Drosophila melanogaster: one gene and its partner. Each later gene encodes a partner of the first gene's protein in a complex. Each region holds a gene or a part of one and is shown on either strand. Other genes may lie near its edges.

The links.
Region 2: exu (region 1) and me31B share a complex: the UniProt entries of both Drosophila melanogaster proteins name them as parts of the osk RNP complex.

What each region holds. Positions count from the first base shown.
Region 1 is NT_033778.4:20,666,927-20,672,804, forward strand, and holds exu (exuperantia), read right to left. Parts: upstream 3,836-5,878; 5' UTR 3,712-3,835; exon of another isoform or gene 3,710-3,711; intron 3,566-3,709; exon of another isoform or gene 3,452-3,565; 5' UTR 3,425-3,451; coding exon 3,275-3,424; intron 3,206-3,274; coding exon 3,053-3,205; intron 2,970-3,052; coding exon 1,674-2,969; 3' UTR 1,649-1,673; exon of another isoform or gene 1,426-1,648; intron 1,357-1,425; 3' UTR 501-1,356; downstream 1-500. Other genes in the region: Fem-1, read right to left, coding at 1-268; galla-1, read left to right, coding at 4,458-4,752, 4,820-4,932, 5,193-5,343, 5,414-5,511. UniProt on the Drosophila melanogaster protein: Ensures the proper localization of the mRNA of the bicoid gene to the anterior regions of the oocyte thus playing a fundamental role in the establishment of the polarity of the oocyte. May bind the bcd mRNA.
Region 2 is NT_033779.5:10,237,325-10,242,917, reverse strand, and holds me31B (maternal expression at 31B), read right to left. Parts: upstream 3,578-5,593; 5' UTR 3,383-3,577; coding exon 3,333-3,382; intron 2,980-3,332; exon of another isoform or gene 2,834-2,979; intron 2,427-2,833; coding exon 2,327-2,426; intron 2,239-2,326; coding exon 1,860-2,238; intron 1,786-1,859; coding exon 1,138-1,785; intron 1,073-1,137; coding exon 870-1,072; 3' UTR 746-869; downstream 1-745. Other genes in the region: chico, read left to right, coding at 1-281; mthl15 (methuselah-like 15), read left to right, coding at 5,073-5,593. UniProt on the Drosophila melanogaster protein: ATP-dependent RNA helicase which is a core component of a variety of ribonucleoprotein complexes (RNPs) that play critical roles in translational repression and mRNA decapping during embryogenesis, oogenesis, neurogenesis and neurotransmission.

The DNA of each region.
Region 1 (5,878 bases):
CCAGGTGGGTCTGCACCGCCCTGCAGCTAACCGAATTCAAGATCTCGACGAAGCTCAACATCTGACCACTGCGGGCCGCTAGGTGAAGGTTGTTTAGCTGGGAGAAACGTAGACGCGGCTCGTGGGGAAACTTGGCCCGGATCTCCTCGGAGATCTCCACCAGCATTCCGTGGGCCATGTTGAAGTAGCCGAAATCGGGCGGATAGCCGTCGTATATGGACGTATGTGCCTCGTCTAGAGGCGCCTCTTCTGCGGGATCGACGTCCATTCTGGCCGGGAAATGGACGATGCTGCACTGATCGGTGATCACTGATCACCAGGTATGGGTATGGAAGCAATCCACACAGGCCCACTCTTTCCAGGCCAGGCGGCAATACGGTCACACCTAGCGGTGCACCTGCGAGAGTGAAAACAGTGACTCGGCGCGATAGGCTGACCGTTAGTTTATCGTTCGTTTATTCGCGCCCTTTGCAGATATTACATATGTTTGTTGATTCGTTAGTTTATCGTTCGTTTATTCGCGCCCTTTGCAGATATTACATATGTTTGTTGATTGTAAATATGAAACATATATGAAATACAGCTTGAAATACTGGATATGTTCACAAGTGTTGGGTTAGATTAAGTGTGCGAATTGAATATGCTTTCTGTGTGCGTGCGTGTGCGTGCGTAAGGTTAACTGTATTAGATTGGTGTATTTTTATATCGTGCTTTCTTTAGCTTCAATGTGAAAGTTTTCTACATTGGACCAGGCCTGGATCTTGGGTTTTATTCATAGAGTTTTGATAGTGTGCGTCGACAGGCCCGTCCAATGGAAAATTTTCATCGAGGCGTTTCGTTTTGGATCATATTTTCCCAATCTCCCATTTGAGTGCGGCGATGTGCATCGGTTCGCCGGGAAAACTATGCCTAAACGCAGCGAGTTCTTAATTGTACATCATATTTGTTGTTCCTTCTTCTCCATCATTATTTCTAGCATACGCTGCTTTAAAGTGTGGATATATAGTCTCTTGAGTTTACAGTGGGCTCAGCATCCTCCCTATGCTGGACAATATAGTTTTCAAACGTCTCGATTAACAATTCACTCGTTTCAAAAATGTCGCTTGAAGCTTGTGTCATCACTATTCAACAGTCACTGTTTACGTCACAGTCACGGTTTACTCACACTATCGATACACCAACGTGCTCGTGAGTTGTGCGCGGATGTGTTTGTTGTGTTCACGGGAAATTTGCTTCCACTGGAATTTAAAGCTTGTCTGCACTAGATCTTCTAAAAGGAAGAAAGTTCGTATGTGGTTTAAATCTCCATTCTCTGCCCTTGTCTTCTTGTGTTTTGATCATCCATTTTTTGATATACTGAAATGGCAAAATGTCGGTTAGGAAACTCAATCCCGAAAATCCCAAAGTGATTTGAATGATTAGCTTAAGCGTTGTGAGTTTATATTGAAAATATGTAATAAAACCTTTTACATTTAGCTAAAAAAGGCTACATTTTTATCAATATATTTGATGCATAAAATTCATTAAAAATACAAGCAAGTGTACGCAATTCATAAAATTAATCAACAATCTACATGAAGGCTTACCCCTCGTTAACTACGTTATCTACAAAGCAAATGGCAGAAGTATCTCAATATAAGATATTTACTTTACGGATCCACCAGAACTGGATTTTAGTTGGAGGCCGTGATGGCCACCGGTGTCGGTGAGGGTTGTGCCACGACTGGGCTTATGGTTACGGCAGGTGGAGCGCTATTGTTGAGCTCAGACACGCCTGAGGAGGATATTTCAGCAGCAACCTTGAGTCCATTGGGGGTTGCACCCAAGCTTTGACGCGAGTTGCGCTTACGGTGCATACGCGGCTTGTTTGGCGAGGGAGTCTTGGTAGTAGAGTCGGGCAACGAGGAAACGCTGCGCGACTTGTCACCTCCTGCTCCAAACTCGGTGCTAGCCGATGGGGAGCTGGATGGCCTAGCGTCCTTCACCGATTGGCGGCCGCCGCGTCGATTGCGACGACGATAATTGTTATTATTGTTGCTGTTACCCTTGACAACCGGCTTCACCGTGGTCTTCTTGGGATCGAAATAGCTGTCCAGAAGCTCGAGCAGCTCCGCCTTGTCCTTGCTCTTTAGCCGGCCAATTGACTGCAGGGCTATGTCCAGGCCCTCGATGTTTTTCTCTGCCCAGATGGCACTTAGCGTGTTCAAATCGAACCCATTCTCGGCCAGCACAATGCGGAACTTTACGGCACGCACACGATGGTACAGAGTGGTCTTGAAGTAGTTCAGGAACACCGGACGGAAGGAGTTTTGACGCTCCAAATTTTCGATCTGGATATCCAGCTCCAGGACATCGGACACCACCAACTTGGCAAACGGACGTATGGCATTAAACATATTCTCCAATGCCTCCGAGCTTTTTGGTTCCGGCTTGCCGTCGGAGTTGCTCAGCTGAAGGGCCACATCAAAGGCCAATTTGGCACGAACACTGGCATTGCCATCAAACAGTTCCCGCTTACCCTGAACGGCGTTCTTGCTAGATTGCTTATCGTCACCATTGGTCACGGTACTGTCCCTGGGGGATATCGATACCGAATCGGACACCATACTAGATCCAGATCCCAAGCCAGATCCAGATCCAGATGTGGACGCAGAGCAAGCCGCGTCTTCCTCCTTGGTCGTGGACAAGATCTTGGAAAGCTTTCGCAGACTGTAGTTCTTTATGTTGGCATCGCCAATGGAAGCCTTGGCCAGATTGATGCTGTTTGCAAACGACTTCACCGACGCGGTGAAGCGCTCCAACAGGCCGTACTTCTTCAACGACTCCAGGATCATGTAGGGAATGAACTTGCGCTCTTCATGATAGATAAGCACAATCCCGTCCGAGCTGGGACCCGCCTTGGTCTTCAGTTGCTCAAGCCAGTTGAGGAAGTCCTTGAGGGCAGCGATCTCAGACTTGGATTTAATGATCTGAGAGGATATTGTATGTTGAATTGTGGATGCTTCAATACTTGACTGCCACTATTAAATGGACTGGACTGCACTGGACTCACCTTATAAGTCTGCATCGACTTCAGCATACGATAAAAGCCAATCGAAATAACACGAACTTGATGACGCTGGCGAGCAGCTGGATTCAGATTCATATATGGCATGATGTACTGCTCGAAGTGGTCGGTGGGTGTATAAGCGGCCAGCTGGACAATCTGTGGGTTTATCGCAAGTGGGGTTAGGACCGAACGACGAACGATCTAACGGCAGTCAGGGGGTATTACCTCATCCATTAGACGACGTCCAGTGGTGTCGATATCCACGCCCACCAGGATATAATTACCGGCCGGCAGCTCAACTTTATCGCCCACGGGCGACGAGGATTGATCGGCGACGGCAATGGCCACTCCGGCATCGATGTTATCGGCAACCATTTTCTTATATGATCTGCGAAAAGCAATCTAGAAAATTCGGATAACGAAATTAGCTGAGTCACTAGAATTTTTTTTTTTTAAGGAACCGATTTCCTTTGCAAAACGCGAACCGCTTTCACTAGATTTTCGATATGAAGTGACGGGCTACGAATTTTCAAGAGTCTATTAAACCCAAAGCTACAACTAACGGTTTTCTTCCAGTGGCGCCATCTTTTACACAGATGTTTTTATGTGTATGTATGTATGTTCACTTTCACCACACTTTAGCACTTTTCTTTTGGGCTCACCTTTATTGAACTCCTTTTTCGTGTTGGTTTCGATGGGCTCTTTCGCTTTTTACGAACTTTTTCCTTTATTTTTCAAAAGGTTAAAGCGAAATTTGCTTCTGTTCGACGAGCTTTCACAAATAAGAAACAATTCGTACGACTAACTAAAACGTAATGAATAATTTCCTGATGCACCCGACGGCCTAGGAAAAGTGCGCGAATTTGACATATGCAAAGCCTGCTAATCGAGGTTTTTGACTTAAGTACGATGGGTTAGACAGCTGCAACTCGTCCACATCTTGCCACAACGCCCACTGTGCAGGTGAAAACTTTTTGCAGAATATTTTTACCGCTGCTATAATAAAATATAGTCTTTCAGCTTGTAAATAAATTTTTTTCCAATTATTAGCCGGCAAAATTGGTGGGTAAACAACAAATATTTGGACAAAAGCGCAGACAAGAACTGATAAGAGGATCAGGGATGACGAATTTCAAATGGTTGCGCCAGAGATGACAGGGTATCGATATCACTATCGATAGACTTATCGAAGACGGCTTAGCACTTATACCTACTCTGCAGCCCTGGTCGGCAGAAAAACAATAATCAGCTGATGCCATCGCTTATTTCCAACAATTTGCACCGCAAAAGTGAAGAATTACCAAGCAAATAGATCGCCTGCCGACCGAATTATGCTGCTGTAATCACCCAAGCACACAACGGTAAAGATAAAACCAGGCGAGATAACACCACGCACAGGTGCCACAACATGCTGTCCTACATAAAGCGCAAGCTCTCCGAATCCGACAGCGGCGTCAGTTCGGTCGCAACTGTGACGTCGTCGTGCGGCGGCGATAGTGGGAGAGCGGGCGGAACGGGCAGCAGTGAAAGCGGTACGGGCAGCAGCAGCGCCAGTATCAGCGGACGCAGCCAGAACGCCGACGAGTTAGTGCGCAAAACGAGCCAGATGTCGATGGATGATGAGGCCATTGCCTTCGGGGAGGACGCACTGCTCCATGAACTGGGCTACAAGAATCAGACGGAACTGCAGGAAACCATCTACGGTTCGATATTTAATGGCATTCTTTTTCACTTTGGCCTAGTTATGTAATTTCTCTTGTCGTTACACAGATCTGTTGCGCGGCATTCGCGATCCCGAGAAGCCGTGCACTTTGGAGGACCTCAACGTTGTCTACGAGGATGGAATCTTTGTGATGCCGCCCACGCGCTCCAATGTCTCAGTTGTACGTTACTCAATATCTTTATAAGCCATAAGCTTGAGCCCTAATCATCATTTCATCATAAGTTAAATCTGCGCGTGTGTTTATTTGCTTTCATCACTATTGTTGCTTAATATTTGAAAGGATTAACGATTTAGCTTCAAAATGACTTTAAAATTGATCTCATAGCTTAAAGTACTTGTATTATACTAAATCCACACCTCATAAATCTTTTGTGTAGTAAAAAGTTGAAATGCATGGTATTTGTCTCTTAATTCTTTCAGGTTCGCATCGAGTTTAACCCCACAGTGCCACATTGCTCGTTGGCCACGCTTATTGGACTCTGTATACGCGTGAAAGTAGAACGCGGACTTCCGCACAACATAAAGCTAGACATATACATCAAGAAGGGAGCGCATCAAACCGAGGAAGAGAGTAAGTTGGACCAACCAGATACTATTATCATACATATGTGTTCTAAGTAAAAATGATTACGTTTCCCCAGTTAACAAGCAAATCAATGACAAGGAGCGCATCGCTGCGGCCATGGAGAACCCCAATCTGAGGGATTTGGTCGAGAACTGCATCAAGGATGAGGAGTAGCTCTCTTTGCCATATCTTTTGTACATAGGGAATACTTTGAGGAATGTCTAGGATTAAGTGTACCATTAAGTTGCATCAGGGAGTGTGTGCTTAGCATTAAAGCCCTTAAAATCTGTTAATCGCTCGGCCGTTTTGATTCCACCAGAATATCGATTGCTCAACGTCCTATCTATTTTCCCGCCTATGCTGCTTACTGATAAGGTCCCCCGGGCCCAACAACTCTCATTGTTTACATTGTGCCGAAGCGATATGGCCGTCGGACATTCGGCCCAAGAAAACCGTGTGCACATCGGTGTCATGGCGGGTGAATGAATCTGAATCGCAATCGTATCGATGGGCCGGCCATGTTGGGCACCAGCCAGACGGC
Region 2 (5,593 bases), on another chromosome or scaffold:
GTAGCACTGGCACAGATCCAAGTACACCACAGAACATTCTACAGATTAAAGATTTGAATTTCCCCTCAAGGTCGTCGTCTCGCATATCCCAGCCGGAGCTGCACTACGCCAGCCTAGATCTTCCCCATTGCAGTGGCCAAAATCCAGCTAAATACCTGAAGAGAGGATCACGCGAATCGCCGCCGGTGTCCGCATGCCCGGAGGATGGGAATACCTATGCGAAAATCGACTTTGACCAATCCGACTCCTCTTCCTCCTCATCGAACATATTTAATACGTAAAGTTTTGAAATTTATGACCCTATCCTATATATATGATTTGTTTAATATTGTACATTTATTGTAAATATTCTGACAAGCAAAGCTTACAATTTTGGATGCTAATAAATAAATTTTATTTAAATTATAATGATCCCTTTGTACTTTTTTTTTGGAATCTAGTAAATCGGGTAATTGCCAATGGTAATTCTTCCATGTAAGTAAATCTAGGATTTAGCTTGATCCAAGTGTACTTCTCTTGTCCGAAAATCCTGTAATTACTTTTAGACCTTTTATTTGATTTAAACCCTTTACTAAAAACTGGATTGATATTAAACGACCTTAGCCTGCCTTTTAATAGCATTCGACTAACTTTCCTTACCAAATCCCCAATAGTTAATGTTAATACTTCTCAGCACCAAAACCCACAAAGTGAACGAGCCTTTTTTTTATAGACCAGTCATTTCAGTTATCTTAAGAGCGCATTTAAAAATTGAATTGCTTTCCATTTATTTAATACAATTTTGATTTCTGAAATAGTTCATCTGTTTTTATTGATTCCACGATTTAGACTCTATTTCAGATACTAGCGTTACACAGGGCATATCCGTTTTATTTGCTAACGTTGCCCTCCTCGTTCGCAGAATTATTCAGATCACTGTTGTTGCAAGTATCGCCAACGGATGCGCCAACGTTTGCGACATAAAGGGCGGGGTCTATGACCTTCGGAATAGGCTTTATTTCGGTTCCAAGTTCTTTTTCAATCCGATGCAGATCAAACCGATCCTCGTAGGTTATCAGATTAATAGCAATACCTTAAAATGAGAAACGAAGATTGTAAATAGGCTAAACTATAATATGAGAATGCAATTAAACTCACCCAAATGACCGAAACGTCCTGAGCGACCAATTCGATGCAAGTATGTCTCTGCCATTCGTGGGAAATCGAAATTGATTACTACATTCACGGCCTGCACGTCGATACCACGGGTGAACAGGTCGGAGCACACCAGATTGCGACAGAGTCCTTGGCGGAAATCGTGGAATACTCGATTTCTGTGTGCCTGGGCCATCTTAGCGTGTATATAGTAACAGCAATATCCAAGCTCTGTGATCTTTTTGGCCAATAGCTCGACACGTTGCGTGGAATTGCAGAATATGATAGACTGATTGATCTGCAGCTTCGAAAAGAGCGTATTCAAGCAGTGTACTTTCTGGCGCTCCTGTACGAATGCATAGTACTGAGTGACACCCTTCAGTGTTAGCTCCTCCATCAGGTTGATCTCGTAAGGCTCGCGTAAATGCTTCTCCATGAAATTCTTGACTGTTAGTGGAAATGTTGCGGAAAATAGCAAGATCTGTGGATCCTTTGGTAACTTTAGTATAACATGATCCAGCATGCCTTGAAAATCAAGCGACAATAGCTTATCGGCCTCATCCAAAACTAATATTCTGCAATGCGACATATCGGCAACTTTCTTATCCATCAGATCTAATATTCGTCCGGGAGTGGCAATAATTAATTGTACTGCAGGCGTAGGGAAAATTTAGAAAGTTGCAATTAAACCGATATTAGGTTATTTAACTATCATCAAAACCCACCTTTTTGATAAATACGAAGAATGTCATCCTTTAGAATGGTACCTCCCGTTGTGACCATTACCCGGATATCAAGATGTTTCGCCAGCTCAATACATATCTGTGAGGTTTGTAGCGCCAACTCTCGGGTGGGGACCATCACAAGTGCCTGAATGTAGTCCTTGGTTGGGTCGATTTGTTCTAAAACTGGGATGCAGTAGGCTCCTGTCTTGCCTGTGCCGTTCTTGGCCCGAGCCAGCACATCTTTTCCACTTAATGCTATAGGAATAGCTGCTTCCTGAATTGGCGAAGGGCGCTCCCATCCCTTCTCGAATATACCCATAAGCAGTTCTCTTTTAAGGCAAAACTCCTCGAATTCATTGCCTCGCGTATCGGTCACATCCTGAGTAAGGCAATGGCAATACATTTATTTGTTAGTTTGTTTGTGCTTTAAATTGTATAAATTCCGATTGATTTGTCGGCAAACTCACAGTTGTTTTGAATCGGTTGTCCTTTGGCGGCAGCTTCAGCTTTGATTTCCAGCCCATATCGTCACTTGTGTTTCCAGCAATTTGAAGATCATTTATAATCCTGGATGAAAAGAAAAAAAATAAAATGGTAATTAAAGTATTACGATATATGTAGGTCATTCACATCCATATATATATGGATGGCATATATAAGCATATATATATATTAAAAATTTTTGATTTTTAAAATTTTGTAAATGAGTTCTTTTATGTAAAGTGCATTTTAAGCTAAAGTCTAAGCCATGTATTAATGTATATTAATAATAATGTTAATATTGATTTTAAATCGTAAACAAAGATGGATAATGTCTTGAATATTTAAGAACTGAACAATCTAAAAGCGATTGAACTCAACATTTTTTCTCTTTCGCACATTTATGGAGGAGAGAAAAAGAAACGCTACTCCAAATTTTAAAATGGCAGCCCACGAATAACTGTTCATGGCGCTGAAATGCAAAAAAAAAATACCTGTTTTGTTCTGATCTCAAAAGTTGAGAATCACCCAATAGAAGTTTTACCTAAATACAGTGTTAGTTTCTAAATGATTTAAGTCAGTGCAATTATATTTAGCAACATTTTTAGCGGTAAATAAGTCCACGAGTGCAACTACATATGTAGATAACTCTTTTATACATATGTACACATGTTCCGCTACTACATACAATAAAGTAATATAAATACGGGAATCACATTGTTTGGTTTTTTTCATTAGATAACATGTTCTGCAGGTTTAGTTGTTGAGTGAAAACAGCCTAACTACATGATGTTGCTAAAATACAGATCTTCGGCTTTTACATGCTCAATCATTTGCAAAAATTGACGTTCTAAACTATAAAACGGCTTGTCTTTTCGGCATCTAATCATAAATATGGGCTGATGAATACGCATGCATATTATGTTTGTTGGGACACCAAGCTTGGGTCCTCTTGTGAAAAAAAAAATATAAATAAATATAAAATATACAAACCCCTTGCTTGTTAAATTAGTGTGCCCAGAATTTAACTTTTCAGTCATCATTATTCACAGTGAAATTTTAGTTTAGTTTGTTTAAAAAATGTATTTCGCTCTCTTTTGCTTTCGGCTGACTAATGAAGTCACTGTATTCACCGATTTTCATATACTGCTCACGTATTCAACTTTGCGTTTCAATATAAAATTTCACTTAGCTTCAAAATAGTCGAGTCGCCTTACAACATGCTATCAATAATACAAATTTCTGATGACTCGGAAAATATTTTCACTCGGTGTAGATAATAAATATGTATTGCCCTGATTTGGAACGTTGGAATGAAACAAATTTTGCAAGTTCAAAATGACGAACAATAATATTGTAGAAATTTATACATGGCTTAACAAAAACAAATGAACGTTTTAAAATTAGTCCACATATTTAGGCAAGAATTATTTTATTTAAAAAAAATCGGCATTTAAATTTTCCTCTTATAAATCCTGTAGGTGTATATGTATACCCAAATATTTCACATTTTTGTTGTGTTAGCTGCTGTTGCCGTTATTTTAAATTTAAATTAATTTAGAAAAGCATTTCCAATGAGCAACTCCACTCCGGCCGGGTTAAAATCACCGTTTAATTATAACAAAAACAATATATGAACTGCATTTCAGATGAAGCAGCTGCCTGTGTGAACGGGACTTAGGAACGACAGGAAGATTTCGAACGTGTATGAAAGAAGAACATCTGAGTTAAGCTTTAATTTGATTGTCTGCGATTTTTATGAATATCTTTTCATTTATAATTTATAAGTATTAAATATTTAATGAAAGATCACATTAGAAACTAACTAATAACATTAAAATGAATAAAAATTATTTTTTTGATTTTTCTTTTCTTAACCAATGGATTTATACTTTATTTATACTTATTCCGATTGGAGAATGACAAAATTAATATATTTGTATTAGAATAAATAAATAGTACTTGCGATAGAGGAGATTTGTATATTATAAAAATGACATTTATGTTTGCGATTTTAGTTTGTGTCATGAAAGAATATATGGAAAAAAGTCAGCTAATAACTAGACTTAAGTTAATTGAAAAGATAAATACTTGCGTATCGTTGACATTTTCCAGGTGATTTATGGTGCGTAGAGTACTTAGACGATTAAAGGATCCATTGCTTACCTCACCCACCTCTGTACATAAGTGTGTATGGATGTGTGTATCTGTGTACCTTATCAATTTCCCCTTAATGAGCTTTGCACAATGTTAACACGAGCAGTCGCATTTGTCTTGCCGTCAGAAGCTAGTGTACAAAGTCATCAATTGAATTGTGTAGATAGATAGATATGTGTTAGAACCACAAAGTACCTACATAAATATGCGGCCATTTGGGTGTATTGATACCATCCGTGAGCACCCCCAGCATGCTAAGTGTTAGGCACTCCATGGGGCATAACTTATTTGTATAGGCTTACGAGAATCCATAAATGTATTGCCTATATACGTCGAGCTATGTCCGTCTGTGTGCGGGCCAAATGTTTACCCATAAACATTCGCATTTGCTCGCGAAGGAATCGCGAAGACTTCAGTTCAGTTCGTTAAATCCGGCAACTGCATGCGGTTCGAAGTGTATATGGTCCGATAACGATTCCTCAATGATAAGATATGAAAAGTCCGTTCTAAGAAAAGATACAAACATTACACAAGCTCGCAAATCGGTCATTGGGTATAATAGACGAGCCGTAAACAATGAACATCGGACTAAGTTTAGTGTGCCTGATTTTAAGTGGCATTTCAAAAGTGCTCGCCGTTCAGTTATGCTGTGCCGCGAATTCGTTACTATTCAAATATCGCCGCACTGTGGACAATGCGGAAATATACCAGTGCGCTTCCGCCGCAAGCAACATCAGTGAACTTCCGGATCTTGCCCAAGTGATAGGCAAATTGATACCACCAATGGGCCTTGGATTAGAAAAGGCTATCAATGACTCAGGCCACAGCCAATTCGCACTATCAAAGTGCCAGAACTTTAGCAGTCTGAGTATAAGTGATTTAGGTGAACGCACCTTGAATTTGCGAAATAACTCATGCATTGGACTATTAAACAGACGTCTCATCGTTTTATCTTGTGAATTCGAAAAGAATGTGCCGTCTCAAAGTGTTGGATTTGTAAACAAGTGCTGCCCACAGGGATTTATTTACGTTTCCGAAAATAATACATGCAAACCGGGCGAAAGCGATTTCTTTGTTTATACTTCCATCATCAGCAG